Linked DNA regions of Callithrix jacchus. The protein of the gene in region 1 interacts with the protein of each later gene in a pairwise test. Links are inferred from orthologs where the notes say so. Each region holds a gene or a part of one and is shown in the gene's direction. Other genes may lie near its edges.

Region 1 (3,665 bases):
TAGTTACAGAAGATACCCTCGGCAGGGGCAGGATCAGCTTGTGGGACCCACAGACCCTTCGGTGGAGAGGGGCCAGGCCAGTATGTCCCCCCCATCAAGGCTGCTCCCCTGAGGGCTTGGAGATTAAATCCCACTGCTGTCAGGAGCCCCCAGTGGGTCTGACTGTCCCAGGCTGTGCCCTTGTGCTCAGCCCACCTGCCCAGCAGAGCAGAGGCCGTGGGGTCTGCTTCCCAGGCAGGGCCCTCCCCACCGGGGGTCCAGTGCCCAGCCACCTTCCCCCGCCGAACGCAGGCACAACACTTGGGCTGCACTGACCATGCCGGTGCTGTTCCCAGCTTTAGCCAGGGCCCCCTGAAGGACGCACCCAACCTCATCTGCACCCCCCACGCTGCATGGTACAGTGAGCAGGCATCCATCGAGATGCGAGAGGAGGCAGCACGGGAGATCCGCAGAGCCATCACAGGTGGGCACGGGGGCAGCCCGGTCAGGCCTGGGGAGCTCCGCAGAGCCATCACAGGTGGGCGCGGGGGCGGCTCGGTCAGGCCTGGGGAGCTCCGCAGAGCCATCACAGGTGGGCGCGGGGGCGGCTCGGTCAGGCCTGGGGAGCTCCGCAGAGCCATCATAGGTGGGCACGGGGGTGGCTCCATCAGGCCCTGCACCCACCTGTGGTAGCCTGGGGGCCCCCTTCCTGCCAGCCCCAGGTGCTTGTGGGCTCACATCTGCCCAGCATCCGGGCTCATGTTCTGCCAGCTCAGGGCTGTGGTTCTCACTTCTCTCACCAGGGCCCCTCAGGGGCCTCTGAGGCCAAAGTCAGGCTGAGCCCTGGAGCCATGTCTTACACACAAGACCTGCCGGTTGGGGCCTGTGAGCTGCTCTGGGAAGTTCCTGGGCTGAGCAGACAGGCCCCTGAGCAAGCTGGGCACATGCTCTGGGCTGGGGGTTGCCTACGCTGTGAGGGTGCTGGCCCCCAAGAGTACCCAGCTGTGCCTGGGGAGCCCCAGGGCCGAGGGCAGGAGCACAGGGCCGAGGGCGCTGCAGTTCATGTCCTCAACCCAGTGGGCCATGCTCCTGGGGTCCCCTCAGAGCCACAGCTGTTCCTCCCTCCTACGTCTCCCAGGCCGGATCCCAGACAGCCTGAAGAACTGTGTCAACAAGGACCATCTGACGGCCGCCACCCACTGGGCCAGCATGGACCCCGCGGTCGTGCACCCCGAGCTCAATGGGGCCGCCTACAGGTGAGCAGACCCACTGGGCACTTAACAGCCTCCATGAGGGTGGGTGGCTTCCCCTGGATCCCAGCACAGCCCCTGACAGGAGGGGCGGCGTCTCTGCTGAGCTGGAGGATCTGGGTGGAATTGGTGCCCACCTCACCCAAAAGTCCCACAAGAACCAGGGCCCCTTGGAAGGAGCCTGGGCTGGGTGGCCTTCAGGGCCCAGTGGACACAGGACTGCTGGGCAGAGGCCTGTGGGCACGGGGGCTATGGGAGCAGGGGGCTTTGGGTGAGGTGAGGACCTCATGTTCCAGTTGCCTGGAGACACCAGGGCTCCCCTCCCCTGCCCTGAGAAGTAGCTCCCGTGGGCAGGAGCGTCCATGCAGAGGCAAGAACCCTCCCCCTGACTGCTGGTCCTCCAGGAGATGCCCCCTTGGTGCCACTGCCAGTGTGAGGGCAGGTGGGGCCCGGCCAGGTTGCCTACAGGTGGGCCCCACGGCTGGACCCTCTCCCAGCAGGTACCCTCCTGGCGTGGTGGGTGTGGCCCCCACTGGCATCCCAGCTGCTGTGGAAGGCATCGTGCCCAGCGCCATGTCCCTGTCCCACGGTCTACCCCCTGTGGCCCACCCGCCCCACGCCCCTTCTCCTGGCCAAACTGTCAAGCCCGAGGCGGATCGAGACCACGCGAGTGACCAGTTGTAGCCCGGGAGGAGCTCTCCAGCCTCGGCGCCTGGGCGGAGGGCCGGAAGCCCCTCGGACCAGAGTGTGCAGAGGAGGTGCCTGCGTGGCGGCCGTGGCGCTGCAGAGACTGTCGGGCAGTGCAGGAGGCGGGTGGGCAGCGCCGGGCCCGTGTCGGTTTTCGTCGTCCGTCCCGTGGGCTCTCTGTCCTGTGTCCTTCGCGTTCCTCGTTAAGCAGAAGAAGTCAGTAGTTTTTCTCCCATGAACGTTCTTGTCTGTGTACAGTTTTTAGAACATTACAACGGATCTGTTTGCTTAGCTGTCAACAAAAGGAAAACCTGAGGGAGCATTCCGAAGTCAACTCGAGGTCATTTTCTCCTTTTCTATGTTGGAACGTGCCCCGGATGAGGCAGTTGGCAAACTTCTCAGGACAATGAACCCTTCCCGTTTTTCTTTTTATGCCACACAGTGCATTGTTTTTTCTACCTGCTTGTCTTATTTTTAGAATAATTTAGAAAAACAAAACAAAGGCTGTTTTTCCTAATTTTGGCATGAACCCCCCTTGTTCCAAATGAAGACGGCATCACAAAGCAGCTCCAGGAGGAGAAGCTTGGGCGGTGCCCGGCACGCCCGCTGCCCGTCGACGTCTGTCCTGGAGCCGTGGGGGGTGGCAGCGTCCCGCCTGCACCGGTGCCGTCCTGCTGATGTGGTAGGCTAGCAATATTTTGGTTAAAATCATGTTTGTGACTGTAACCATTTGTATGAATTATTTTAAAGAAATAAAAATCCCGGAAAGAGCCCGCGTGCCTAGCGTCTGTTCTAGTGACGGTCTCACGAGGACACGGGTTAGCCTCAGTCCCGGCTATGGTGACCTCCAGGGCCCAGCTCAGCCTCTCTGAAGTGGGAAGCCCAAGAGAGACCCAGAGACAGTGACATGGCAGGTCGGGCAGTGGCCTCTGCCCGCTTCATCTGTGGGACACTGTAGGGTCGTGGCTTGGAGGCGGCCTCCCTGTGGGAGGGGAGCGTTGTGCCAGGCCGGGCCGTTGTGTTGATGATGGTCTGACTGGCTGAGGTCTGCCCCACGGCCCACCGCCTCCCTTCTCGGCAGACCTCCCTCAGGCCGGCCTACAACCTGGGAAGACTGTGGGCCACAGAAGGAGGGAAAGCAGACGTCAGGGCCAAGGAAGCTGCCCAGTCCACGGGTCATCCAGCCTACAGAAATGTGCCAAAAAGCCGAAAGGGGTCACTCCTCACCTTGGCCCACAGCCGAACCTCTTCGAAATCCCAGCCTGCTGGTTCCTCAGACTTTCCTTTGGAAGTGTGGTCCATGCATGTCAGCAGAATCCCAGCTCATTTTTGAGATGAACTCTGATACCAGACACCCCGGAGGAGTGCTTCCAGGCAGACTCCTGCAGGTGGGTCCAGGTAGTGCAAGGAGGGGCTGCAGCGGGTACTGGGGGAACCTGGGTCCCTTTGGGACGTCCCTGGTCTGAGCCTTTCCCCGAATGCAGGTGGGTTCTCCTGCCAGCCCAAGCATCCAGACCCTGCAGCGTCACCCCTCAAGTTTCAGCCTCCCCCTGCTCCCCGCCCCAGCTAAAGCAGAAGCAGTGGGGAGGCCACTGCCTTTGGTGGGGGTGCCCCCTCCTACCTGGCTCTGAACCCTGGGGCCCGCAGAGGTCTCTTGGGTATGGGCAGTGGTTCCCGGTCTCAAGGCCCACGGAGGGCCTTGCCTCACTGACCGAGGCCTCTGCCTCCTTCCCCTCAGCAGAAGACACC
Region 2 (4,051 bases), about 37 Mb from region 1:
AGGTGGTTTAATTTTAAGGTGCCATTGAGGGGGTTTCTTTGTTGCATCCCGAGTTAGCATTGCCTCTAAATCACAAACACCTAGGATTTTAGAGCTGGAAGAGAAGCACCATATGTTGTTTATCAATGTCAATGTCAGCCATTCAAGTACAAAGAATTTTCTGCAGGTAAGCAGGCTTGACATGCAAAATTTCAGTTTCCCTAAAATGCCGAGCGAAGAAGTTGGTTTGTCTTGTTTAATTTTTTTAAAAATCAAAATATGTTGCATTCTACAAAGAAAATTTACAACAAAATGTTAGTTAAGGAATAGAAGTAATTTAGGTGAACTCCATAGTCAAGGATAGTGCCCATAGTGTGAAATTATTATGATTGGTTTGTATTTAAAGATGGCAGATGAAAGTTAGGTTATTGTGGTATTTTAAAAGAGAAAGGTGTTTGAAGATAAATGAGGTCCGTTGTGTATCAGATCTTGGGAAGGAAACAGACTCTTGTCTCTTCTCTCCCTTGTTTGTCCCCCAGCCTCATTTGATGAATGGGTAGCAGTGTGTAGAGGAGAGAACACGGGGCCTCAGCTTGTGTGAATGACCCTGACCACCACATTTCCTTATTCAAGTCATAGCACGTTAGCTGTTTCTTACAGTTCTGTGTCACCCACAGACTTGGCATTCAAGTCTACAGCTTCATTCAGATTCTGAATAAGAACATTGAGCAAGTTAGGGCCAAGGACATAATTGCCCCAGTGAGGGTGGCCTTCAGGACAGAGGTGTGTATGGTGACTGACCCCCTCCTGGTTTGCCTGAGACTGTAGAGTTTCATGGGATGTGGGACTTTCAGTGCTGAAAGCAGGACAGTTAAGGCCGACTAGGATTGTTGGCCAATTCTAGGCATGGATTGTTCAGCCGCTGAAGCCCTTCAAAAGAAAGATACGGTCTGTTATGCAGCCCCATTCTTCCTTATTATATACAAGTATGATGAGCAATCAATATCCTGCTGAAGTTAAAGACTACTTATCCTGAGAAATCACTGTCCTGCTGAAGTTAGAGACTAAAGCTAGAGAGCATTTCCTGCTTATCAAGAAACCCCACCAGAAAAGCAACAGGTTGGTTTGGCTTGGCTGGTTCTTGGTGAACCCCAGCTCTGACTCCTAATGATAATGGCCCCCATGCCTGTGCTAGCGCCTGTCTTAAAATTTTGCCAGGTATCAGCCTTAATGTTTGACACAGGAATCATCTTGGGGTTAAATTTCAGATTTTTCATGTGCAGTAGTGGCCACCTTGATCTTAGTTTTAATGTTGATGAGACTGCCTCTCGTAGCATTTTCTTTGTTCTTTGTTTTTTGGGGTTTGTTTGTTTGTTTGTTTTGTCATCCAGGCCGGAGTGCAATGGCGTGATCTCGGCTCACCGCAACCTCCGCCTCTCAGGTTCAAGTGATTCTCTGCCTGAGCCTCCCAAATAGCTGGGGTTGTAGGCAGCTGCCACTACACCCAGCTAATTTTTGTGTTTTTAGTAGAGACGGTGTTCCACCATGTTGGTCAGGCTGGTCTCGAACTTCCAATCTCAGGTGATCTGCCCACCTCAGCCTCCCAAAGTGTTGGGATTACAGGCATGAGCCACCACGCCCAGCTCTGGTAGTATTTTTAATGTTGTTGAGACCACTTCTCCGAGAGCATTTTTTTAAGGTCAAGTGTATATCGAAATCTAAACCACTTTGTAAAGCCCATGGGATTGTTAAGTGCCTTGTTAGCATGTTTTTGTCTTAATTCATGTTTCAAGTAAAATGCACTTATTTGGCTGTTGACACGTTGTTTTCCTTTTCGTTTCCTATAGTCATACCCATCTAATTACATGGAATCCATGAAGCCCAACAAGTATGGGGTCATCTACTCTACACCTTTGCCTGATAAGTTCTTTCAGACCCCAGAAGGCCTGTCGCACGGAATACAGATGGAGCCAGTGGACCTCACGGTGAACAAGCGGAGTTCACCCCCTTCGTCGGCTGGGAATTCGCCCTCCTCTCTGAAGTTCCCGTCCTCACACCGGAGAGCCTCGCCTGGATTGAGCATGCCTTCTTCTAGCCCACCAATAAAAAAATACTCACCCCCTTCTCCAGTGCAGCCCTTCGGCGTGCCACTGTCCATGCCGCCAGTGATGGCAGCTGCCCTCTCGCGCCACGGAATACGGAGCCCAGGCATCCTGCCCGTCATCCAGCCAGTGGTGGTGCAGCCCGTCCCCTTTATGTACACAAGTCACCTCCAACAGCCTCTCATGGTCTCCTTGTCAGAAGAAATGGAAAATTCCAGCAGTAGCATGCAAGGTAAATTCCGCCTCTGCTCCATGCCGCTGCACTTGCCTACTAGTGTACTGGCGCCTCACCAGACGGGCTGGGTGAGGAAGCACGGGGCAAGGGCTGTTGAACTCTTCAAAGGAAATACTCATCTGCCTAAGGCATTTCATTTTTCCTTTTTTTCCCCTAAAGTGTTGATACTGGAAGAGATCCCAAGAATCAGGCTTGTCTGTTTGATACCATGACATGATTACTTTCACTGTGTAATAGTCAACCTGGGGATAGAAAGAACCTTGACTTTAGGTTGCTTTATTGAATCCCAACGTGGTTCTAGGTACAAAGGCATTTAATAAACACTTTTTGATTGTGGTGAAAACTAATGCCAATCAACAGCCACCTTGTTTACTAACTGGTCATAGACAAGACTATAGTCTTAAAAGGAAATAATCCAGAATTGTAAGAAAGAATCATTTCAGGGCTGGTGTCTTAGAATCCAGGTCCCTGTATTTGCTGCTTACCGGCAAAATGATGGTCAAGAGAAGCAAGAATCTCCCACAGATTTGTTCCTGCTATAATTCTGCCACAGGCAAATACATTTCTCATATCTGTATAGTAGATAGGAGCTGTGCAGTAAACCTTTATAAGCTGAAATTGGTAAATTGTACATGGAGTGACTTTTCTATTTTTGTTTTTTAGTACCTGTAATTGAATCATATGAGAAGCCGATATCACAGAAAAAAATTAAAATAGAACCTGGGATCGAACCACAGAGGACAGATTATTATCCTGAAGAAATGTCACCCCCCTTAATGAACTCAGTGTCCCCCCCGCAAGCATTGTTGCAAGAGTAAGTATATTTAGGTCTACCCGGCATTTGCATAGTAGCATGCATCTTGGAACCTGGAACGGAAGCACAAGATTTCACATACGTGATGTGGTGTGAATGGCTTCTTGTCTGTGGCCGCCACTGGCTGGGTATCCCTGGCCAAGATGGGAGAATCTCTCCAAAAACAGTATGCTCTGTTACACTGACAACATTATGACAAAAGTTACATCAAGTTTTCATTGAATCAGTCATCTGTGATTTTGCACCTAACCACATGAATTATTTTTATTTCCATTCTTCCAGGCTATGTATACATAGTTCTTCCATGATGAGAATCCTTGTGTAGATTAAATTTGGTGTTTTCTGGGTCATATAAAGTGTTCATGTGGACATACATAGTCCTCCCAGCTGTCACTTCTAACCTAGTATATTGTTTCTATTATGGGGAATATCTGTAATCACCATCTGCAGGCCAACCACAAGCCCAAAAGAGATGCTCCAGAACAAGTCCTGGAAATAGTGGTGGCAACAAAAAGTCATCTGTGTAGCTCAGGGAAGCCCAGCATTGAAAGAACTATTCTCTGGTCTTTTTAATCATATCTGCCTACAGAGTGTATAGTATCCTATAGAACTGCCATCCAGTAGGAAGGCTGTGCAGTATTGGTCAGCATCCAACCACCTGAATGGTGGGTTCTTGTAGGTCTAACATGGTATAAGATGGTAGTGCCACACACAGGTTCAGTAACCTCATTTGTAAGATCCTGCTGTAGATAACCTTGACCTCTACCAGTGATTACACTAAGAGCAGGGTTTGTAGTTGCTAAGAAGATGGTCTTTGGGTCCAACAAGGATCCCACCTCTGCTCTTTACCGTATGTATGATCTGGCCTAGTCACTTGATCTTGCTGCCCTCATTTCTGTTTTCGTTATTGATTGTAGTTGT
Region 3 (4,550 bases), on another chromosome or scaffold:
CAGTTCCAATGCCTTAAGACTCCATGGAAGTAGTGGGTGTCTATTCACATTACAAAGGTCTTTCTTTATAAAGAATTCTTTTCAGATTTTCTCTTTCTTTAGTGCATTTAAACTACAACTTGGTTTACCAAAATCTGGTGACTGTATTTTTATTGGCAGCTAACATTTACTGACCAAGTTAAATATGCAAGTCACACATCAAATGCCTCACATGGATTAGTGGACTTAATTATCCCAGTAACTTTATGAGGTAGATATCAATATTGTCCCCAAGTTATAAATAGGTACATTGACTCGAAGGCTGTCTAACTTGCCTCAGGTCACTGAATTAGGGAATGACAACACTGGAATTCAAACTCACTTCAATTCAATATGAATACGAACACACAGATTAACCCTGCGTCTCCCAGACTGGCTTCCTGTATGAGGAGGTGCTCAGGGTTTCTTCCTTATTGAACCATAGGCTCCTTGTCTTCCAAAATGGGGTGACTGCTTGGAGACAGGATGTTTCCTTTGATGATCTTAACTTAATTTCTGTGATACAAGGTAGTGATATTTTCATTAAGAAATAATTTTTTACCTTCCCCTATATGAGTAACAATGGATTTCACCAGTTATCTTGAGTCACTTGTGAATGATTTGGTGAGCAAAAAAGGGTACAAAATTACTGTGAATTTCTAACTTGGTTCTTTATGTCTATTTCTTATCTAAGTCTAACAGCATACACAGCAAAACTGTACATTATTTTGCAACAGATTAAGGTGAAAAAAATCCACATACAGGAAACCATGTAAGATTAATATATATTCATACTTTCTAAAAATTTTCACATCCATTATTTTCACTTTCACAAGAACTGTATGAATTAGGCAAGACAGAAATTATTTGTTCATTTTGCAAATGCAGAAAGAGAGTCATAGAAAAGGGGGGTGACTTGCTTTGGGCCACTGTGCTGGTTGGAGCCTAGATTGTGTTCTATACCAGGCCACCTCTGTCTGTAAAAGGAACATCGGATCCAGACACTTCCTGGCAGATAGAACCAAAGAGTGCTGACTGGAGGCTGTGCCATGCCAGGCTGTGGCCAGAGTTTCCCTGTATAAATAGCAACCTATGCTAGAGGTTGCTAGCACCAGCCATTTCCCCTGCTCACACCTGTGCAGTGTGATAAAGAAAGTAGAATTAGCCTGAAGTTGTGGTCCAGCCAGATAAAACTTTTAGGCGGGAAGTCAAGCGACAGGCAAGCTTGTATGTGTGGTTTTTTTTTTTTTTTAAGTGTTAGTTGTTTTTGATATTTTTAAAAAGCGTTTAGACTGGTTGTGGAAGTCAGACCAAAATAGCAGGAAGGTATTACAGCAAGATGGATTTTGGAAAGGACCAATCTTGTTTGAAGCACCATCAGACACTTGATCCTCTTCAAGAAGAGAACCATTCTCCAGGTAATGAAAAATACCTTAAGGGCTGGTGGCTATTGGGAAGAATTTGGGGTATGATAATTTTCTCTTTTCAGTGGATCTGGCCAAAAAAAAAAAGGAAATACATTTAAATGAAAGCTAATGAGACGACCCTTTCATCCAATAATTTCATTAGATGGTTGTGGTAAAACAAGTGAGTTCATACATTTCTATGGTAGCATAAATTTGGTCAAACGTTTGGAAAGAGATCTGGCAATAAGTGGTGAGAGCTATAACACTGCTCATTCTTTTGACTCACTAATTTCAGTCCTTGGATCTATCCTAAAGCAGCATTTCTCAAAATGTTTTGTGGAACCTTAGGCCTTCAGATACTCTAAGACATTGTTTTAAAATTTTTTTGCTCCATGGATCTCTTTGGCATTCTGATGAACTCACAGACTCCTTCTTTGAATAAAAGTTTTAAAGGCATAAAATTAAATATATAAAATTACAAAGGAAATAATTATATTAAATACAAATATCAAAATTAAAAACTGTGATATAGTAATGTACATATGATTATTTATAGATGCATTAGATAACAATATCCAGTGGTGGGTCTAATAATAATAGTATCAAGTCAAATAAATAATAGCCAGTAAGTGATATTTTAAGGTATCTGCAACAACAGCAATGTTATATAAAAATATGTGATTTCTTTATGGGGTCAAAGCCATATACTGTGGGGGAGGGAGAGCATCAGGAAGAACAGATAATGGATGCTGTGTTTAACACCAAGGTGATGGGATGACCTGTGCAGGAAACCATGGCACGTATTTACCTACATAACAAACCTGCACATCCTGAACATGTACCCCTGAACTTAAAAGTTGAAGGAAAAAAAGTCATATACTGCCAAAACTACTGTGGTTTGTTATCTACATTCATAATTGAAGGAAATGTCAACTTTAATTAGATGTTGGTAAAAATAAAGGTATAATTTTTCTCTATAAAGAGCCTTCAACCATGGTTGAAGGGGCATGCTCTATCCTTCAGAGGTCCCAGTGCAGATGTGCATCACTTCACAGGCTCTAGGAAGCTCTACATCAAAGACTCATTAATTTTTCTCAACCTTAGTTGGCAGCAGAAACTTTTTTGATCATACCCTTAATTTTCCAAAGACCTTGAAGAAACACCATTCTAAGGAAAAAATCCAAAAGAAAAGCTATATGCAATGACTATGCTTATTATAATTTGATATACAAGGCAAAGATTACTAGCAACAACCTACATGCTCAATCCAAGAGGAAGCACTGGGTAAATGAGAGTACATCAACTAGATTATGTATTTTATTGTCATTAAAATTATCATTATGAAGACTACATCATGGAAAATAGTTCTAATATAATGTTAGGTTAATAAAAAGATAAAATTGTGGTATGCTATTCTTACAACTTTGTATAATAAAAGGAATGGACAGAAACGAGTAATAAAATGAAAACAAATTATCATGTTAAAGACAGCAAAATATGGCTGCTTTTTTCATTATTTGTACAATATGTAAACTTATTTTGAAGAAATGAATAGGTTGGTAGCACATTTATGTACAAATACTCTGTGTGAGTATGTCTCTGACGTTTTCATTCAAAAACATTTGGTGAATGTCTGCTTCCAGGCTTTCTCCGGAGATACAAAGATAAATGAGATGTAGTCCTTGTCTTCAAAAAGCTAGGAGGAAAACCTAGCATAGAGATTCTGCTACTTGACTATAGGACTTTTGCTGATAAACACCACAGTTCATCACTTTCTCTAATAACTTTCATTTTATTACAGAAGTCATTGGAACCTGGAGTTTGAGAAACAGAGACCGACTTAGAAAAAGAAAAGCTGAAGTGCAAGAAAAGGAAACATCACTATGGCTATTTGGGTATGGTAGCATCACAAGGGAAAGGGAACTAATATATTTATTGAGGATGTTATGCATCAAGTAGTGCTCTGCACTTATATACACTGTATTTTATCTTTCCAACGATCCTGTAAATCAGGCATTGTTATCCCTATTTACAGAAAAAAAGAGACTAAGCCTCCAGTGAATTAATTACCTTGCCGAAAGTCACACACACAGCTGGTAAATGGTGGGAACAGACTTTTTTCCCCTGGTCTCTTTTAATTAAAGCACGGAGTAATCAAATTATATTGTAGAGAAGCCTGGCGTTTAGCTCCTATGGTAATATAAACATAGAAGCATCTTGCTGGGAGTGGGAAGCATCACTGAAGAAGCCTCCAAGATTGTTCTCCAAGCTTTCTATTAGCTAAATTTTTACTGAATGAGTGTGATTAACTCTCCATGGAGTAAGCCAAAACATTTGCTGTAAATGAGTGACAGAGAGTTTAGATCACCTGTATGTTTACCTGTACGTAAACACAGGAAGGGAGTACAAGAGTATGGTTATAAGTTAGGCGGCATCTAATTGCATCCATTTCAAATATGACTGTGACAACTGGGGACTTGCTTGCTTGGAAGGGGAGCCCAAAGAGCCAAAAGTGCAGCATCCATCTAAGCCAAAGTGTCTCCACCTTGGCACTGCTGTCACTGTGGGCAGAATTGTTGTGTGGGGCTGTCCTGTGCACTGCAGATGTTTTGTAGTATTTTCTGACCTCTAGATGTCAGTAGCACCTTCTACCCCAGTTGTGACAACAAAATGTCTCCAGGGGTGGTGTGGGGGGGAGACAGGCAAAATCACCTCCAGTTGAGAACCACTAATTTAAGCAAAGCACTTGTCCTATGAAAGGACATTTTCCAATCCCACAAACCCCACTATGGACTGAGCACTGTCTGTTCTGTTACAACAGATGTTTCTATAACACCAAGCTCACATACAACTGGTAAATAGGAGAATGATGTCAGTATAATACAGGAGTTTTGTTGGTTCATGATTTTTTTTCCTAATCAAAAGGAGCCAGAATAGTGGGAAGAGAATTACAGCTTTCAGCTGGAAAGAAAAAGCTTTCAGCTTGGCTGCTGTATAGGCAGGATTCTTTTCAGCTGGCATCCAGGGTTCCCTCCCTAGAGATGCACAACACCAGCCTTGCACAGCTCTCCACCAAGTGGCAGCTTGCACGTCCCTCCTGTGCCCAACTGAACGGCAATCCCTGCT
Region 4 (4,678 bases), on another chromosome or scaffold:
GGGCAAGGTATAGGTCTTATTTTACTCTGTAAATCCTACTGCGAAACAGAGAGATTGTTGCTGGTTTATCTCTTCCTTCCTCTCAGAGGAGAAAACTTAAGAGAGTTCCCTCTTCTTTTTCTCTCTCTTTTTCCTCATCACTATTAGAAATGTTTCTAAATATCTCAAGGCCCTAATCTAGGCCCTTGAATCCTCAGTATTAATCTACACCAGTAAAAAAAAAAGGATCACACTGGCTATTCTTGCAGACCAGAGGTCTAAGGAACAATAGCAGAAAGATGTTCCTAACAATGGAAGCAAGGTCATAAGCTCAGCCGCCACTCCTTCTCTTACAATAGGTAGACTGGCTTCACCCAAGGCACATGGCGGAGAACCATGGCTAAGAAGAGACTGAAAGTAATAAGAGAGTATTCACAGCAGAGCTAAGTAGCCCAGACATGCACTAGAAACATAGTTCGACGTTACTAGCCTTGAGGATTTTATAGGGTATTTGTGTATTTGCTTATCTTTAAGAGACTAAAGAATCAAGTTCTTAGGAGAGAGAGGGCATGAAATAGTTTTAAGACACTAATTCAGTCACTCTTGTCATCATTCTGCTCCTCTATTCTCTTAAATTTGAGAGAGACAGAAACAGAGATAAAGAAAGTCACGCAGAGAGTGAGAGCGCGAGAGAGAAATTAACATTCGATAGTAATGTGATACTGTTGTCATTTCCTGAATGATGAATCCAATTGTCCAAATGTTCCGCTTTATAACAAGAGCATTTTTCCCTACATCAAATGCTTCTCCCTCAGGCAGGAGAGGCTGGTGCAGCAGTGGTGCAGGATTGTAGCTCTCATCCTATCACTTTCACTCAGTCACTTAAAGCTCCTCACACTCTCAAATTACACACATGGTTTTGGTTTGTAAATCACCATGGTAATAAGCACGACATAAATAACTCATAGAGTTCAATAGAAAAAAAAACTAACAATGACAATGAATAATTAGGAAGTAAGGACTTTGTGCATTAGTTCCAATTAAATTGCTCAAAATAAATACACACTTGTGCTTTCTCAAATCTGTGAGTGCTAGTCCTCTGCCTAGAGAGAATAAAGACAAAATAAATAATAGAGAGGAAAACAGATGTATTGATTCAAATGTACTTTTAAAAATAAGAAAGATGGTCTGAGGAGTAAAAGGGGAAATAGCCATTCACAGAGTGATACTGTGCACCCTCAAGAAAAACACGCTAACAAAAAACAAGGCTTTTAAAACAAGTAGTTTTAAGAAAAAAATTTTGCAACAGGTTAGAGTTAAATACAAAACTAGTGACTAAAGTGGAGATAAACATGCATAAGAAATGGTTAACAATGTTTAGTCAGCTCAGCCATGACAACATTAATGTAGGAAAAGTCTTTCTTTCAATATTTTGGTCATAGCCTGATAAGGAACCAACAAGGGTTTTCACACAGCACCTTAAAAGCCTGTCTTATCCTTGGGGTTTCTGCAGCCAATGAAAGTTTGTCACGATGATGTAATGCTCCTGAGTTGTGTTTCAGCACCGACTATGTGGTCACCGGGTATCATGCCTGAGAGCTAGGTAAGTTTTTGGATCAAATCTTTCTTTCCAGCCTGTTCCCCTGCTTAAACTAATTTCAGCAGAGAGATCATTTGTTTCTAGTCTATTTTACTATCTCTGAACAATTTTTTAATGTGAGCTGGGTTATTATAGAATTGTAAAGACAGCTGGTAAACAAAACGATGGGATCTTAGAGTCAATTTTCCTCTGTTATTAGTGTGAAGGCTTTTACTCCCCAGCAATTTATCGTCACTTCAGAGGAAAAGAGCAGCAAACACTGTTATGTTTTATTTGTTAAGGAAGCTGTCGTCATTTGACAAACAAGTTTTACTAGAGATATTTTCGGGGAGATGAAAAAGATTTCTTTTTAAAGACTGACACTGAATTTGACTGATATTATTAAATGACCCACAGTGAACTGTAAGCAGTAGAGTAAGTTTTGATGTTTTTTTTATAAACAGAGAATATGTAAGTCCTGACCTCACAGATTTTAAACTTAAAAAAGAGAGAGAGAACAAGGCAGTACACTAATTTTTTTCAATTCTTATTTAAGTTAACAACAATTTTAAAAGGAAAAAAACAACTAAATATTTAGTGACCCTCAGTGGCCTGACAGTTACATGACATTAAATGAAGAAAAGTTAGAGATCAGTAATCAGTAAATAAGCCAGTTTCAGTGAATGGCTGTACAGATGTTTTCCTAAACAATTTTTTAAAATTTAGAGCATTTAAAAAATTTGCATTAGGTAACCAGCAAAAGCAATGGAAATGTAGCACTTTTTTTTTTCTCTATGGTACTCTCTGCAGATGTGGAGGTTTTAAAGAACTGTTATTGATATCAGTCAAGCTATGGATTTCTAGCAAAATGAAATACAGGAAACAATTATCCAGATAATTCAGGATGTAGGGGGGAAATCTCCCAAAACTGTTACTGGGGAAAAGAGAATGAGTGGGGAAGAGGGAGAAGGGTTATCATGCACTACCTGCTACACTGATTAAACGACCCAGATGTTACTATCTTTCACCTTAACTCTGACTGTATAGACACAGACTCTGAGAAAGGCATCTTAAATATGAGTGTGGAAGAACTGTCCTCAGCAATGCCGAATAACAGAAAATGTCTTGTAGAGTTTCTAACAGGAAAAGTATTTTTTCTTGTCTTGTAGAACTTGATGTCTGGTAGGTCCTAATGCATGTGTTCTTTTAAAAGAAACTTCACTAGCTTTCAAGCTCTTTCTCTACCCTCAGCTGAGTTTATCAATTACACTTCACTGTCTCCTACATCTTCTTTCATTTTATCCTCCAATGAACTGGGCCGTCTCCCTACATACCATCCTAGTGGTAAATAGGTACTTCACCCCTTACATTTAATTATCGTCCTCTCTTTGTTCCACAGTTAACTCATTTTTCTCTCAGATTAATAACTGAAATGCTAAATAGTTTATTTTTCAAAACTTTAAGTTAAAAATATACTAGCATAATATAAACATGACTCATTTTCCTTTCCCCCACCCCCCAAATTTCCATGGCATTGCTTTGGTGCTGTAATTGATACCAACATGGAAATTTAAGAGAAAAAACTCCACATTTTGATAGCATCCTATGCTTTGCTCTCTGCATTGTAAGTTCTGAACAGGGAGACAACATGGTTAGAAGAAGGGCAACAAAGTATTGCTCTAGAATTGAGTGAATGAAGGAGCAAGGCTTCAGAGTGACTGATAAAGAGAAAAAACATTTCCATAAAAGAAAAACAGTATGGATAAGGGGGACTACAGTGCAAATGATGTGAAATTACCTGGTTTCTGACACAGAATTTTTGGCTTTGGGCCCTTGGTCAAGGCTGAGCCTGTGCTTTTATGACAGAGCTGCATGCAGTGTGTTGTAGCTCACTAGGCTTGGGTTCCGAAATCCCACAGCATCCAGCTAGAGGCATAAAGGGATCAGCGTGGGGTTGCACACACTCATTAGTCTGCAGAGTTGGCCCTCAGAAAGGCCTAGGAGGAATCTGCTTGGGGTTCTGCTTGACCTAGGAAACCTCTTTGATTCTCACTCTGTCTGAGATGCAACTGTGCAGTACACATCAGGATTTTTTTTAAACAATGTTTTAAATGGAACATATTGCTTAAAAAAAAGTCTTTGGGGCATAATCTGAGCACTGACCTGGACAAATAACGCACCCTTCTGATTAATCCTGATGACAAAGTAGGCCTCAGAAAAGACAATTCAAGGTAGAGCTCCAATTCCAGCATTTCTGAAATCAGGTGGACATATCTGAAAGAATGCCTAGAGGATTTGTGGGTGACAACGTCTGGCAACACAGAGAATAAGTTACTGGCTGAGGGAGATCTATGATCGTACTCTACTGTATACCACAAAAGGGGTGTTCAACAAAAGTCATTCCGCTTTAAGGACAGTCTCTTTAAATATGTCACTTTCCATTTCATCAAAAATTATCTTTTCATCAATAGCATCTTTTATAAACAGAAATGGTCTGAACTCATTGAGTTATTTATCCTACCCATTTATATGATGGAGAGGAAAGCCCACTGGGGTCATTATTAGAAAAAAAGAATGATAGGTATGCAAAGAAAACAGAAGTTAGCTATGCCCTCCAAGGTGAATACTGGGACTAGTGTACTCCCAAGATACACTGAAAATGTGGATGTGAGAGCATATAGGAGTAGGTGTAGCAGGAGCAGCCGTGAGAAACAGAGCTCTGGAACACCGAATGGGGAAGGAAAGGGTTTATTATTATTATTATTATTATTATTATTGTTGTTGTTATTATTATGGCAGGGAGCCAGGCGATGGTTCCAAATTACCCAGCTTGTCCAACAAAGGAAGGTTCTGCCTTTATATAAGCTTATACTTTAGATATTACATATGGAAGAATCTTAGGTTTGTAGCCTTAGAAATTACATATGAAGATTTACAGCTTTAGGACTCACCTGTGAAAAGATTTCAGGTTTACAGCTTTAGAAATTACATATGAAAGGGTTTCGGGTTTACAGTTTTAGGAATCACATATGAAAAGGTTTCGGGTTTATAGCATTAGGACTTACATGTGGAAAGGTTTCAGGTTTGATCTTGTTTTAAGTAAAAACAGTGCCTTCCTGA
Region 5 (4,051 bases), on another chromosome or scaffold:
TCCCCAAGGAGACTGATCGTCCCTCCCCTATTTAGGTATTTGATGAGCTGCTCCTGGATGCAGATTTCAGCGTGAATGCAGGCAGCTGGATGTGGCTGTCATGCAGTGCTTTCTTCCAGCAGTTCTTCCACTGCTACTGCCCTGTGGGCTTCGGCCGTCGCACGGACCCCAGTGGAGACTACATCAGGTGAGGATGCAGACCAGGCTCTCTGGCTTCTGACCACTGTGTCCTCCTCCTAGGATGAGATACCCCGGGCCCTTTGAAGGAGGATCTAGGTATGCTGATGAGTCAACTGGTGTGTCTTATTTCAGGCGATACCTGCCCAAATTGAAAGGGTTCCCCTCTCGATACATCTATGAGCCCTGGAATGCCCCAGAGTCCATTCAGAAGGCAGCCAAGTGCATCATTGGTGTGGACTACCCACGGCCCATCGTCAACCATGCCGAGACCAGCCGGCTCAACATTGAACGAATGAAGCAGATTTACCAGCAGCTCTCACGCTACCGGGGACTCTGTAAGGAGACAAGCTCTCACTGAAGGGAAGGACAGCACCTGTAGGCTCAGGGGGCCAGATGGGGATGTCTAGTTACTTGCAAAGGGAGGCTAGTGCTGTCTTTCAGGCTAAGTTGACCTACCTTCCTGGGGTGTGGGACACTGCTGGCTGGGATGGACTGGGCCTCCCTGAGTAGTTGTGGGGCAGTGGGAAGAAAGGGAACCTCAGTGTCTTGGTCCTACCCTCCCCATCCTGGCTTGCTTCATCCTGCCCTGTAACCCTCTGCAGTCCTGCAAGACAGCACTCTGATTATTCCCTGCCTCTCTCCCAGGTCTCCTGGCATCTGTCCCTTCCTGTGTGGAAGACCTCAGTCACCCTGTGGCAGAGCCCAGCTCGAGCCAGGCTGGGAGCATGAGCAGTGCAGGTGAGAAGCAGCTGCCTCCTGTGGCCTTCCATGGCCTGTGCCACCACTTCAGTCATTCAGGACTGAGGCCACAAGGAGGCCTTGCCTGATGGAGCTTACATTCCACCTGCAGCAGTCAGATCATTTCAGATAGCAAGTGCTTTGGAGGAAAAGAAAGTTGAGTGCCTTGATAGAGGGGCTGGGGAAGGAGGGCTTCCTCTGCATCATTTGAGATTAGAGCAGTCAGGGAACACCTGTGGAAGCAGAGACCCCCATTATGAGCAGGAGCCAGCCCTGCCACCCACTGAGAAAATAACATTCCAGACAAAGGGAATAGCAGGGAAAAGCTCAAAAACAGTACCGAGCTTAGCCAATTCAAGGAACCAAAGGGAGGTCAGTGTGGCGGCTATGTCCCAGTGCAGAGCTGGAATGAAATGAGAAGATACAGCATCAGCAGCATGTGGCAAGCCTGATGTCCGAGACGAGGACTAGGATTCAGCCTTCAGTGCACTGAAGGATAGTCAATAGGGCAGGGCATGATTGGACTTAGGCCTGAAAAAGCTCCCCAGCCTGCTGGGTGGAGATTGGACAGTGTAGGCTGGAGTAGGCACAGGGAGCCCAGGGAGGAGGCAGCACAGACAGGATGGTGGCCGCAAAGAGAGAGACTAGACAGATCGCTGAATTCTGAGCCTCCTCCCTTCTTGGGACTGAAGATCAGGAACATGAGATGGCAGAACAAGGGTTTTTCTAGTTCCCCAGCTAGGCTGCCTCCATGGGCAGCATGCCTCCTTGGGGCCCTGCTCTTTGCTGCTCAGGGAGGCTGATTCAGGGTTGCCAAGGGAATGCCTCACCTTCAAAGCAAGGACAACAGGCAGGCCAAGTCAGTCTCTGGCCACAGCCTGTGGCATTTGGGGCCCAAAAGCTGGCCCTGCTACCAGCAAGCCTGGTTGGTCATGTTCTCCTTTCACATTTCCAGGAAAACTCACTGCCGAAAGCAAGGCCAGGGGCGTAGCATGCTGGCATTCCATTGATGAGTGTGCTCCCTGTCCCCTAAAGAGCTGCCGCTACACAGTGTAGGATCATTTTGCTGCGTCACTTGAGATTCGAGCAGTCAGGGAACACCTCTGTAAGCACAGTCTATGTGACCCTTGACACACTTCCCTACAGGCCCAAGACCACTACCCAGTGGCCCAGCATCCCCCAAACGCAAGCTGGAAGCAGCCGAGGAACCACCTGGTGAAGAACTCAGCAAACGGGCCAGGGTGGCAGAGTTGCCCACCCCAGAGCTGCCAAGCAAGGATGTCTGAGAGTGAGTGACAGCAGCCTAGAGTCAACCTTAGGAAGGAGGGGAGGGGGCAGGGCAACTGCCCTGCCAGCCAAAGATTAAAACACAGCAAACTAGATGAAATGCTGTAGCTCAGCATCTGTAGCTTTGCCATTTTATAGTGGCAGCCCGGGTTCAATCCTGGCTTAAGGAATGAGTACTTTCTGGTTGATACCTGTGTGACCTTTACCATTGGGCCTGGTGTGGTGGCTCATGCCTGTAATCCCAGTGCTTTGGGAAGCCAAGGTGGGAGGATCACTTAAGGCCAGGAGGTGAAGACTAACCTGGCCAACATAGTGAGACTCCATCTCTAAAAATAATGATAATCTGGTGGGACTGCATGACTTTTAGGATTTTAGCTCAAAAATCCCACCATTCTGACTTTTATCAGAGATTTAAAAGTCAAGCCCTTTTATTTTATTTTATTTTTTTTGTTAATGCTAGCTCAGGGAAAATAGGAGGCATGGGGTGGGTAGGGGGTGGCACTTCTACCTATTAAAGTGATTCATACTTAACAAAAAGAAAGCTGAGACCTGTGTGTGAAACAGTGGGGGAAAGGCCCATTGCAGGGTCGGAGGCTGCTCCAGGCTCTCCCCAACCCCCTTCTCCCACAGGCTGTGTTCTGTAGGCCAGCCAGTAGAGGGCAGCACTGACCTTAAGAAGCCTGGACAGAAGGCTGTGCTGTGTCTCACTCAGCCCAGCCCTGCCTGAGGACCAGTAGACCCAGTCTGTCATCACCTTTGCGTGCACCTCCCTGGCAGCGCTCATCTTGGAAGCCTCCTGAATGTCGTCAGAACACTGGCTTCTCCTTTCCCAAAGCAGGAAGGGCCTTTTATGCCATTCTTGGGGAAATGTAAATTCCTGTCCCCTCTGAGTCATCATCAAGCTGTTCCTTGTGTTATGTCTTCATCATTAGATTAGAGGGTAATTTTTCTCTGTGGAGCTGATAGGTTCTTTTTTCCAGATCCTTCTTACTTCAGGGCCAGGCTGGGGCCATCTGGTTTGAGTGTCTGGATTTGTGTTCTCACTGAGATGGGCATTTGATGCCTTCACCCTTCACCTTTCCTGGGCTCTTTGACATAGACATTGCTGATGGACAGGTGTGTGCTGTCTTGTTCCTGGGAGTACTGGCAACCTACTACTCTCTCAGATACCTCTTAGCTCTGTGATACTAAGCAAAGTTCATCCTGCATTACAAATCTGGAACTTGCCAAGCTGACACTCTGATTTTCGGATGAGAAGACCAGAGAACAGAGAGGTTAAATGTCTGGGTCAGGGTTGTTCAGTAAGTTCATGGTGTCCAATTCAACATGAAATTGTTGCCAGCAGGTGGGTGAGGAAGGGGGAGCATTAAACATATAAAATGTGATGTGATGTGATGTCCGGCCACAAGGATTTAGCAGTCTGCTTCGATAAAAAGAAGCAATAACCTATAATTCCTGGACAAATGAAACAAACAGTACAGGCTTATCAGAAGGGGAGCAAGCAGGGAACACATCACAGACGTTTGCACTAGGGAGGCCTGAAAAGTGAATTGGATTCAGGCAGTGAGCAGGGCACTCAGGACAGAAAAACGCTGAAGGTTCACATGATCTTGTACAAATGACTTAACCGCTGTGAGACTCAGTTTCCTCACCTATAAATTAGGTTACTGTTGGAGCGATTAAGTGATTAAATCTGTATGTGTCAGCTAGAAGTGGGGGAGATCTGCTAATAATAGAAAGCTCAATTACTGTGGCTAAAACAAATAGGGGTTTATTTTTCTTCCCTAACAAGGGGCGCAGAAATAGTGTTGCTGGTTTGGGCTTGGATGGCAGCCCCAGCTGCGGC
Region 6 (4,051 bases), on another chromosome or scaffold:
CCAGACCCACGCCACCCCACCTGACCTCGGCCATGGCAGAAAACATCCTGGCAGCTGCCTGTGAGAGCGAGACGAGAAAGGCAGCCAAGCGGATGCGCCTGGAGATCTACCAGTCCTCACAGGTACCTGCCACCACAGCTGCAGCAGGGGCCACCCCGGGAAGCCAGAAAGAGCAGTCCTCAGACGGGTGTGGACTGAGGGAGCTGTGATGGGTGCAGTTGGGAGAGGGCAGAGGGGGAACAGGAGGGCAAAGACGAGGAGGTGGGTGGAGGTCAGGTGTGTTCTCAGAGGTCCTCAGACCTCATGTGGAAGTGTGGGCTCCATCCTGAGACTGGAGGGCGCTGGTCAAGTGAACCCACAGAGAGATGAGCAGAGTTGGGGGAAGCCCCTGGGGCGAGACAGACACAGTCTCACAGGTCAAACCACAGCATTGGGTCCCAGGAGTCCTGGGGCCACAGCGTGTATCCACCTGGTGTTCAGGGATGGTAGTTGGGCCTGGTTACCCGTTTCCCCAGCGCCACCCTCTCCCCTCTGCAGGATGAGCCCATAGCCCTGGATAAGCAGCACTCGCGGGACTCCGCAGCCATCACCCACTCCACCTACTCACTGCCAGCCTCCTCCTACTCCCAGGACCCCGTGTACGCCAACGGCGGCCTCAACTACAGTTACCGCGGGTATGGGGCCTTGAGCAGCAACCTACAGCCCCCAGCGTCCCTCCAAACAGGAAACCACAGTAACGGTGAGTTGCAGGAGGCCTGGACTCTGGCTCCTTGACCAGCACCCAGCTGGGTCTGCAGAGCACCCCGGGGCAGGGCAGAGGGCAGCAGAGGCCAGTGACGGAAAGGGGCTGCCTCACAGCCTGGGGAGCAGGAGGGGCCGCTCTGGCACCCTCCCACTTCATCATCTCAGCAGGTCCTTAGATGGGGAGGTGGAGGAGGTTTCAGCTGGTTAAAGCAAACGCCTCCCACCCTCTTCTCACCGCCAGTGACACTGGCTCCAACGCTTCCTGCCTTCACTACCAGTGCCTCTCAGTGGTTCCGCTACCCCAGGGCTCCTGTGGGTGCCGAGTCCCAGCCAAGGGCCTGTTCTTGCCCTGAGTTGAATCTCCACAGCCCATTTCACCCATAGTGACCGAGGCTCAGTGAGACATTGCTGGCCTGCAGGTCAGCTCCCTCCCCAGGCCTCAGCTCAGGGCCTGCCTTGTGAGGTAAGAGATTTTCTCACCCAGGTGCTGGGCCTCGGTCCTTGCCCCTGCACTCATGGAGCCCACATGGAGACACCCAGGGTGATGGCTGCACACCTGCCCCCTCACTCCACTCCTGTAGCCGCGTGATCCAGTCGGTGCTTTCCCGGTAACTTCCCGGGAGACTCTGCGGCAGATGCAGTGCAGACCATTAGAGGAGACAGTCCCCGAAGAGACGGAGTCAGGTGCTGCTGTGAGCACGAACTGGAGTGGGGAACCTCAGACCCCTTTCCTGGGAGGCAGCAGCGGAGGAGTGTGGGTAGCCTGATGGTCACAGGACCTCCTGGGCCAGACACTCTGGTTTTGTTCTCTGTGCAGAAGAGCCCCTACTAGGTTTTAAGCACAAAAGGGCCGTGAGTTGGGCAGTCTGCCATTCTGTCTGCCCTTGTGGTAAGAAGGTTTGAATGGGGAGGGCAGGAGGCTGAAGCCACGTGCTTTGGGGGCTGTTCAGAGGCCGGGGAGTGAGGGGAAGAATGGAGTTGCCAAGTCGAAGCGTGAGTAGGTTAGAGAAAGGTGCCACCTGTAAGCCGGGGAACCCTGGTGCATGGTCTTGGCTAAACATGCCAGAGGATTCCTTAAGCCCCGTCCCTGGCTGCAGGAGACCACTGTTCCTGGACGGCAAGGGCGGGAGCTAGTCCCCAACCATGGCAGGAAGCCCAGACCGCCTCCACTTGCCTTGACCCCCACCCCCCAGAACGAGGAAGTTATACACAGGTCCCTGTAAGATTCCTGCCTAGGCTTAACTCCTCATCCCTTCCTAATGCCTCTTAACCTAAAATAAGAGGCCGCCTGGCCCTAATCCCTGAAGCTAAGGCCAGAGCGGCCAGCACAGCGAGAGGTAAAGTGCTGTCCTAGGCGGGCTCCTTTCCTTCTGGGAAGAAAAGCCATCCCACAGCCTTGCCCTCCCTACACATGGGGGTCTGGGACCCAATAGGAGAGGTGAGGGTGGCCTGGGACCTGCTCCATTCTAGCAGCAAGCGATGGTGACAAGCCTCTACCTGGTGTCACCCAGCATGACCGTCTCAGGGCTGCGGCTGCCAGGTTCCCAACCCACCTAAGGGCTTCTCATGGTGGGGCCAAGACTGCTTCATGCCCGCCCTGTTCACACCTGTGCAAGAGGCATGAACGGCAGCCAGAGGATGATCCCTCCAGGGAGGCAGCTGGCTCTGCCCTTGTGCATCCTGGGGCCTCGGTCTCCCATCTGTGAATTACCCTGGTTCCTTCATGGTGGGTGGGGAGGCCACTGAGGCAGAGATCTGGTCATTGACCTCACCTGGGGCAGCCTCTGTCCTTGAGCACTAGTACTGCATTTGAAGAACATTGTTTAAATCCTCTAGCAGTTGAAGGAAGACAACAGGCAGCCATGTGGCTACAGGCCACCCAGCCCCGCTGGCCTCCCCAGCCTCAGCCTTTCCAATGATTGTTCAATCAGTTTGGTACCTCCGCCGGGCAGCCGTACTAATGGCTCAGAGCTCCTCACTTTGTTCACTACGTTATCATCTGGAGATGCAATCAGCTTAGATAGAATCAGGCTCAGCCTGTCTTGCCTGGGGTGCTGGGTAACTCACGCTCACTCCTATCCCTCTACCCACTATCTGGCAGTTACCCGGCCACCTGAGCATCTGGCTGTAACCAGAGCCTGCATGTGGATGTCTCCAGATCAGATCGGCTGCAGGAAACAGGGACCTTCTCCTTTTCAAGCCTCAGCTACAGCCCAGGAGAGAAAGGAGAAAGCTCTGAGCATAGGCATAAACAGGATAGCACTTGGGGAAAGGAGGAGAAAAGAAAGGGACTGTGGCCACTGCTCAAGTTGACTATGCCAGGAGGCTCTGGCCACTCCCAAGCATGATGCAGAGGGGACCAGCGCCACCCTAGAGGGAGCCAGACCCTCTCCTCCCCATCCCTCTGGGTCCAGCCCCTGTAATATCCAGAAGCCAGCAGAGGTACTCCTGTTCCCAGCTTCCCAGTCCCCTGTTGTGACACCTTAGGCATCAGTCACCTGCTTGGCTGCTGTTTCCAGACAGCCCCAACCCCTTCCTCCTGTGTTTAACAGACTTAACTGTTTCCTTAACTCTCGATTCCAAGGACACTGTTTAGAAAATGGTTCCTGGGACCTCTGCCTTGGTGTCCACATTCTCTGGTCAGAGGAAATAACCCCATGTGACAAATTGACCCACCTTAGAATCCAACTTCCTTCCCCATTTGGAGGCCGCACCAGCTTCCTTTTAGCAGCAGTCAGGTTTCCATAATTTCTCCCAAGATGTTACTTCCATTCTGGATACCTCCAATGACAAGAGCTCGTCCATCTCTCTTCATAGCAGCTAAAAACTGCCTTGGAGGCCAGGCACAGTGGCTCATGCCTGTAATCCCAGCACTTTGGGAGGCCAAGGTAGGTGGATCACCTGAGGTCAGGAGTTCGAGACCAGCCTGACCAACACGGAGAAACCCCGTCTCTACTAAAAATACAAAATTAGCTGGGCATGTTGGTGCATGCCTGTAATCCCAGCTACTCAGGAGGCTGAGGCAGGAGAATCACTTGAACCTGGGAGGCGGATGTTACAGTGAGCCGAGATCTTGCCATTGCACTCCAGCCTGGGCAAGAAGAGCAAGAGACTGTCTCAAAAAAAAAAAAAAAACCGCCCTGGAGATGCAATAATGAGTGAATGTGGCCATCAGGAACCTACAGGGTAGTGGGCAGAGCCTCACGCCCTCACAGAAGATAAAGCTGTGGGGAAGGGACTCCAGGGGAGGGCAGAGAACAGGGCAGCTAACCTGGCTGCATCAGAGAGGCCGCCCAGGGAAGCAACG
Region 7 (4,571 bases), on another chromosome or scaffold:
TTGTTCCCTTGCAACGTGCTCAGTGGTAGAGCTGAAGTAAGTACTTTACTATCATTTCTTTCTTTCTTTTTTTTTTTTTTCTAGGGGCACTATCTCTCCCAGCCTTGGGCATGAAAAGAAATGTTGTCAGAAAGATATTTTTCTTTCAGGTTAGAAAAAATGGTGCAACTTTCCTGGGTTAAATTCTAGCCATAATGAAAACTTAAAGTAATTTAAGATGCTATCTGGGGAGGCGACGGAGTTTAAGGTTCCCTGGCCCCCATGGGAATCCAGAGAGCTACTTCTGTTTTACAGAGATCCCCAAATCCGGACGTGTATAAACTCACAAGGCAAACAGATGAAAGTGAAAAAACCAGACACCAAAAGTTACAACAGTAACCACCACACCATCTGCCCCCAAATACATCAGTAATCAAAGATTTCTTAACTTTTTTCCCTTCAAACAATGTGCAGTCCCCAGTATAGTAGGAACTTGATTAAGGCTAGCTGGGACTGTTCCCTGTTTATCTGGTGCAATACTAAGCTCAAAGGCAGAAACTTTTGCTTCCCCTGCAATACCTTCCTTGGAACAAAATATTGCCTAATGCATGTTTTATTTCAGAAACAGAGAGGAGAAAATCAGAGTTGGGTAATTTTTGTTGGGATTAAAAATGACATTTTTAGTTTTTTATACTGTTTCATGAAGGTCCTTTTTTTTTTTTTTTTTTTGCCATTGACACTGGCCCAATGCTATGACATTGCAAAATTGAGAGAATATAACAAAACACTTGACTTTGCCTACTAATTAGAAGAGTGAAACTGAGTAACAAACTCAAACATTTTATTTAAAATAAGGAGACTTTATGCTGTGGTAACTAAGTATTACTCATTGCAAGTACAATAAATATTTGTTGATCTGATTGATGTTACCGTAAGCCTCCTTCTCAGTCCAGTGAATGTAAAAATTTTACTGATAATCTAAAAGTATTAATTCCTATACACCACAAGTTCTGCATATCACCCCCCTCTTGGAATACACATTCACTTGCACATCTCCCCAACCAGCTCTTCGCAAGAGAGCTTGCTTTGGGGAGGAAATTTCAGGATAATCTGCAGAAGAAAACGACGACAGCGCTCCTGGAGCCGTCCTGGGGCTCAGTAGCAACTTACCGGCTCAAAGCGAAAAGAGACCGCCGGTTGGGGGTGGGTGGGAGGGGGCGAGGGGCGGGAAACTCCATCACAGACGCAAGTGAAAACTGCGGCTTCTAGATTCCATCCGAGAAAGAAAGATGAGAATCAAGGTTAGAAAGGAGTGGCAGGGCGGTGTCCCCTGCCTTGCTTTAATTCTCGCGGTCCTCGTAACCGCGGATCTGCATCACCCGAGCGGGAGTGATGACTCCAGTCCTCATCTCCCTTCTGGAGTCACCCAGAGAGGGGGTCTTCTCCGATCCCCAAGTGGTAATTAGGGGAGATCACAGCGGGCAGAAACTCCGCCAGAAGAGAAGAGCCGGGGGCCACTGTCCGCCTCAACGTTCCAGGAAGCCCCTCCGCGTGCCAGTGGGCGGGCACCCAGGCCAGAGGATGCGGGGCGAGGAGGCGGGTACCGGTGCCACTCCCGGCGGTCCTCGCCCGCCCCGCCAGGGGGAGCGTCTGCGCCCGACGGCGGCAGCGGGTCCTGGGCGGGCGGCGCAGGGCGGTGGCTCTGCTTGGCGGCTGCCCTCCCGCGTCCCCACCCCCTCCCCGCCCGCCCCCGGCGCGGCCCTGCCCGCCCCCTCCGCCCCCTCCCGCGGCGCCATGCGCAGACTCAGTTCCTGGAAAAAGATGGCGACAGCCGAGAAGCAGAAACACGACGGGCGGGTGAAGATCGGCCACTACATTCTGGGGGACACGCTGGGAGTCGGCACCTTCGGCAAAGTGAAGGGTGAGAATCACTGGGGTTAGGCTGGGCCCCAGGTGGGGAGCCGCAAGACTTCCGCTTTCCGCACCTCTTCATCCTCCCCCGCCCCCTACGTCCCTCCTCTCCGGGGCTGGGTAGCCCCTGTCCGGGCTCCTCTGGGAGCTCTTCCCGGCTGCCACGGGGCTGCGGCGCGGCCAGCCCTGGCCCAGTGGGGGTGGGGGGTGGACCAGTCGCCATGGCGACGGCGCCGCGGCCGGAGGGGCCAGTAGTAGCGAGGGGCGGGGTTGCGGAGGTGCAAACTTTCCCAGGTCGGGCTGGCGGGCGGCGAAGAGCGCTCTGGTGTTGGGAGGAGGGGGCGCCGGGCGCAATCCTCGGGGAGGAGGCCAACCGCGCGTCTGGGTTGTGCTCCCGTGGCTCTGGGCCAGCCCATCGCTCCTTGGCGGTCCTCGGCGTTGTCCGTGTTCCGTCGTCTGTAGGAGGTTGTCGATTACCGGCCCCCGCTGTTTCCCGAGTGTGAAATGTGTTTCCGCAAAAATAAGGTTGCTTTTTGGGTAGCCTACATCATTTTCTTTTTAAAGGCCATCTCGTCGGAAAGGATCACTGGTTTTCTTCTGAGCAGTTAATGAATATAAACTGGTTCAGTATTTGCGATGCATGGTTTACATTCCGAATGAGACTCTGCCTTTAGTGTTTCTGAATTATCAGGAGTTTCTCTGTGCGAAACTTGGTTGTTAGTGCAGATGTTGCCTCCAGATCGTATTCATTACGTTATTAATACAGTTCTTTTCCACTTATTTTCAGTTAATACAGTTTTCCACTTATTTTCAAAGGTTATTTGTATTATGATAAACGATTTATGTGCATATCATTTGAACGTGTGTTTAAAGAAAGATGTACTGGGTGCATTGTACACCATTCGGGTGATGGGTACACTAAAATCCCAGACTTCATTACTTTGCAGTTCATTTGTGTAACCAAAAGCCGCTTGGACCCCTAAAGCTATTGAAATTAAGAGAAAGAAAAGCATGGACTGTTTCAAAGCAATATTCTGGAAGTAAATTTGCTCTACAGCCCACCAATTCTGGCCAAAAACGTTTAATTGCAAGCTTTGCGAGGTATGACTCTTTTTTTCTTTAAAATATTTGACTTAGTTATAAGGGATGTAGAGAAAGGAAGTTTGGAACTAATAAAAATGCTTCATGCATTGCCTTTGGATAAATAGTAGACTGACTTGCATATAGTAAGTTCTTGGTAAATATTTGACTTCAAAGAAAAAAAGTTCGTAAGTCTGTATGGTAACTTAACTGAGACTTGCTCTCCCAGAGCTAAATAAACATTTTCTGATTTTGTCTGGGGTTGTAAGAGACTCTCTTGCCATTTTCTGAGTCATAGAATTGGAAAATTGCTGTATATCCCACAGGGAAGCAACTGCCTGAATCTTCTTGTGAAAATCGGCAAGGCCGACAATGTCCAGAGGAAGTAAGAAGCAAAATGCCAGAATCCGATAATAACAGCTGTTAGGACAGGTCCATATAAGGCCAGTAAGATGTTTTTGTGCCCTGGAAGTTTTAAGTTTATTTTTGGCTATGATATTTCTTGTTAGCAATTACCAACTGCTTTTTAGTTTACAAGTATTTGTAAAAAAATGTTCATTTTTGCCCCCACCCCTTCCCAGTGTTCAGATTGGATTAGGGTGTTCATTATTCCCCCTAATATAGACTTGAATGAAGCCAGGTCTGGTTTTATTTTTCCCCCAAGACGGAGTCTTGCTCTGTCACTCAGGCTGGAGTGCCTTGTCATAATCTCACTCACTGCAACCTCCACCTCCCGGGTTCAAGGAATTCTCCTGCCTCAGACTCCGGAGTAGCTGGGATTACAGGCGCACACCACCATGCCCAGCTAATTTTTGTATTTTTAGTAGAGATGGGGTTTTACCATGTTAGCCAGGCTGGTCTTGAACTCCTGACCTCGTGATCTACCCACCGTGGCCTCCCAAAGTGCTGGTATTACAGGTGTGAGCCACTGTGCCCAGCCTGATCTGTTTTATTTGCTAAGTGGTTTTTGGCACGGCAGGTAGTAAAGCAAGAGATTTTTCATCCTCTGCATTTGATCTGTGATATGGTTGTTACATGAATGTCTCCAGTGACTTTGCTGTTTCTTAACCTTCACTTCTCCACCCACATGTACTTCTATTGGAGTACCATGTTCTGTTAGAGTCAACAAACTCTCCAAATGTACAAAGGCCAATATTAGTCCAAGGATCATGGGTTTCATAGATATGTTTAGATTTGTTTATAATCACATTTGTCGATGTTGATCAGAATTTTTAACCTCTTCATTTTTAAGTTATCTAACACTTGGAATGCTTTTTGCCAAAAGTAATAGAAAACCCAGCTTAACCTAGTAAAGAACTTATCTGTGGTTCTTTCTCCAGAGCAAGGAAGGCCAGCATACCTCTTATGAGTCTTATTGTCTCATCCAGTCCCTCTGGCTAGAAATGCCATCTGCCAATTGGCTTATGCTGGTGTTCCTAAGCAGGCATTAGCAAGGGGGATGGCATTACCCTTAAAAGAATATGACCCACCCTTTGATGTGTCAGTGAGTGGGAGACATCTTTTTTTAAATTTTATTAAAAAAATTTTTCAATAAGTGATTGGGGTACAGCTGGTATTTGGTTACTTGATTAAGTTCTTTA

The links.
Region 2: the proteins of CTBP1 (region 1) and KLF3 interact in binary tests that used the Homo sapiens proteins (3 or more experiments, as listed by UniProt). The link is inferred for Callithrix jacchus from reciprocal best matches to the Homo sapiens genes CTBP1 and KLF3.
Region 3: the proteins of CTBP1 (region 1) and HEMGN interact in a two-hybrid assay, tested with the Homo sapiens proteins (2 studies listed by BioGRID and IntAct). The link is inferred for Callithrix jacchus from reciprocal best matches to the Homo sapiens genes CTBP1 and HEMGN.
Region 4: the proteins of CTBP1 (region 1) and KLF12 interact in binary tests that used the Homo sapiens proteins (3 or more experiments, as listed by UniProt). The link is inferred for Callithrix jacchus from reciprocal best matches to the Homo sapiens genes CTBP1 and KLF12.
Region 5: the proteins of CTBP1 (region 1) and CRY2 interact in binary tests that used the Homo sapiens proteins (3 or more experiments, as listed by UniProt). The two-hybrid records come from large-scale screens. The link is inferred for Callithrix jacchus from reciprocal best matches to the Homo sapiens genes CTBP1 and CRY2.
Region 6: the proteins of CTBP1 (region 1) and NOL4L interact in binary tests that used the Homo sapiens proteins (3 or more experiments, as listed by UniProt). The link is inferred for Callithrix jacchus from reciprocal best matches to the Homo sapiens genes CTBP1 and NOL4L.
Region 7: the proteins of CTBP1 (region 1) and PRKAA1 interact in binary tests that used the Homo sapiens proteins (3 or more experiments, as listed by UniProt). The two-hybrid records come from large-scale screens. The link is inferred for Callithrix jacchus from reciprocal best matches to the Homo sapiens genes CTBP1 and PRKAA1.

Annotation. Positions count from the first base shown.
Region 1 is NC_133504.1:191,959,140-191,962,804, forward strand, and holds the end of CTBP1 (C-terminal-binding protein 1), read left to right. Parts: intron 1-335; coding exon 336-571; intron 572-1,117; coding exon 1,118-1,235; intron 1,236-1,726; coding exon 1,727-1,913; 3' UTR 1,914-2,686; downstream 2,687-3,665. UniProt on the Homo sapiens protein: Corepressor targeting diverse transcription regulators such as GLIS2 or BCL6. Has dehydrogenase activity. Involved in controlling the equilibrium between tubular and stacked structures in the Golgi complex.
Region 2 is NC_133504.1:155,141,577-155,145,627, reverse strand, and holds part of KLF3 (Krueppel-like factor 3), read left to right. Parts: intron 1-1,826; coding exon 1,827-2,313; intron 2,314-2,979; coding exon 2,980-3,130; intron 3,131-4,051. UniProt on the Homo sapiens protein: Binds to the CACCC box of erythroid cell-expressed genes. May play a role in hematopoiesis.
Region 3 is NC_133502.1:146,067,029-146,071,578, reverse strand, and holds the start of HEMGN (hemogen), read left to right. Parts: upstream 1-1,307; 5' UTR 1,308-1,357; coding exon 1,358-1,436; intron 1,437-3,225; coding exon 3,226-3,319; intron 3,320-4,550. UniProt on the Homo sapiens protein: Regulates the proliferation and differentiation of hematopoietic cells. Overexpression block the TPA-induced megakaryocytic differentiation in the K562 cell model. May also prevent cell apoptosis through the activation of the nuclear factor-kappa B (NF-kB).
Region 4 is NC_133502.1:40,952,585-40,957,262, forward strand, and holds the start of KLF12 (Krueppel-like factor 12), read left to right. Parts: upstream 1-1,532; 5' UTR 1,533-1,582; intron 1,583-4,678. UniProt on the Homo sapiens protein: Confers strong transcriptional repression to the AP-2-alpha gene. Binds to a regulatory element (A32) in the AP-2-alpha gene promoter.
Region 5 is NC_133511.1:110,895,230-110,899,280, forward strand, and holds part of CRY2 (cryptochrome-2), read left to right. Parts: intron 1-35; coding exon 36-187; intron 188-312; coding exon 313-515; intron 516-825; coding exon 826-918; intron 919-2,064; coding exon 2,065-2,204; 3' UTR 2,205-2,206; intron 2,207-4,051. UniProt on the Homo sapiens protein: Transcriptional repressor which forms a core component of the circadian clock.
Region 6 is NC_133506.1:6,764,174-6,768,224, forward strand, and holds part of NOL4L (nucleolar protein 4-like), read left to right. Parts: coding exon 1-122; intron 123-537; coding exon 538-739; intron 740-4,051.
Region 7 is NC_133503.1:164,776,991-164,781,561, forward strand, and holds the start of PRKAA1 (5'-AMP-activated protein kinase catalytic subunit alpha-1), read left to right. Parts: upstream 1-1,555; 5' UTR 1,556-1,560; coding exon 1,561-1,900; intron 1,901-4,571. UniProt on the Homo sapiens protein: Catalytic subunit of AMP-activated protein kinase (AMPK), an energy sensor protein kinase that plays a key role in regulating cellular energy metabolism.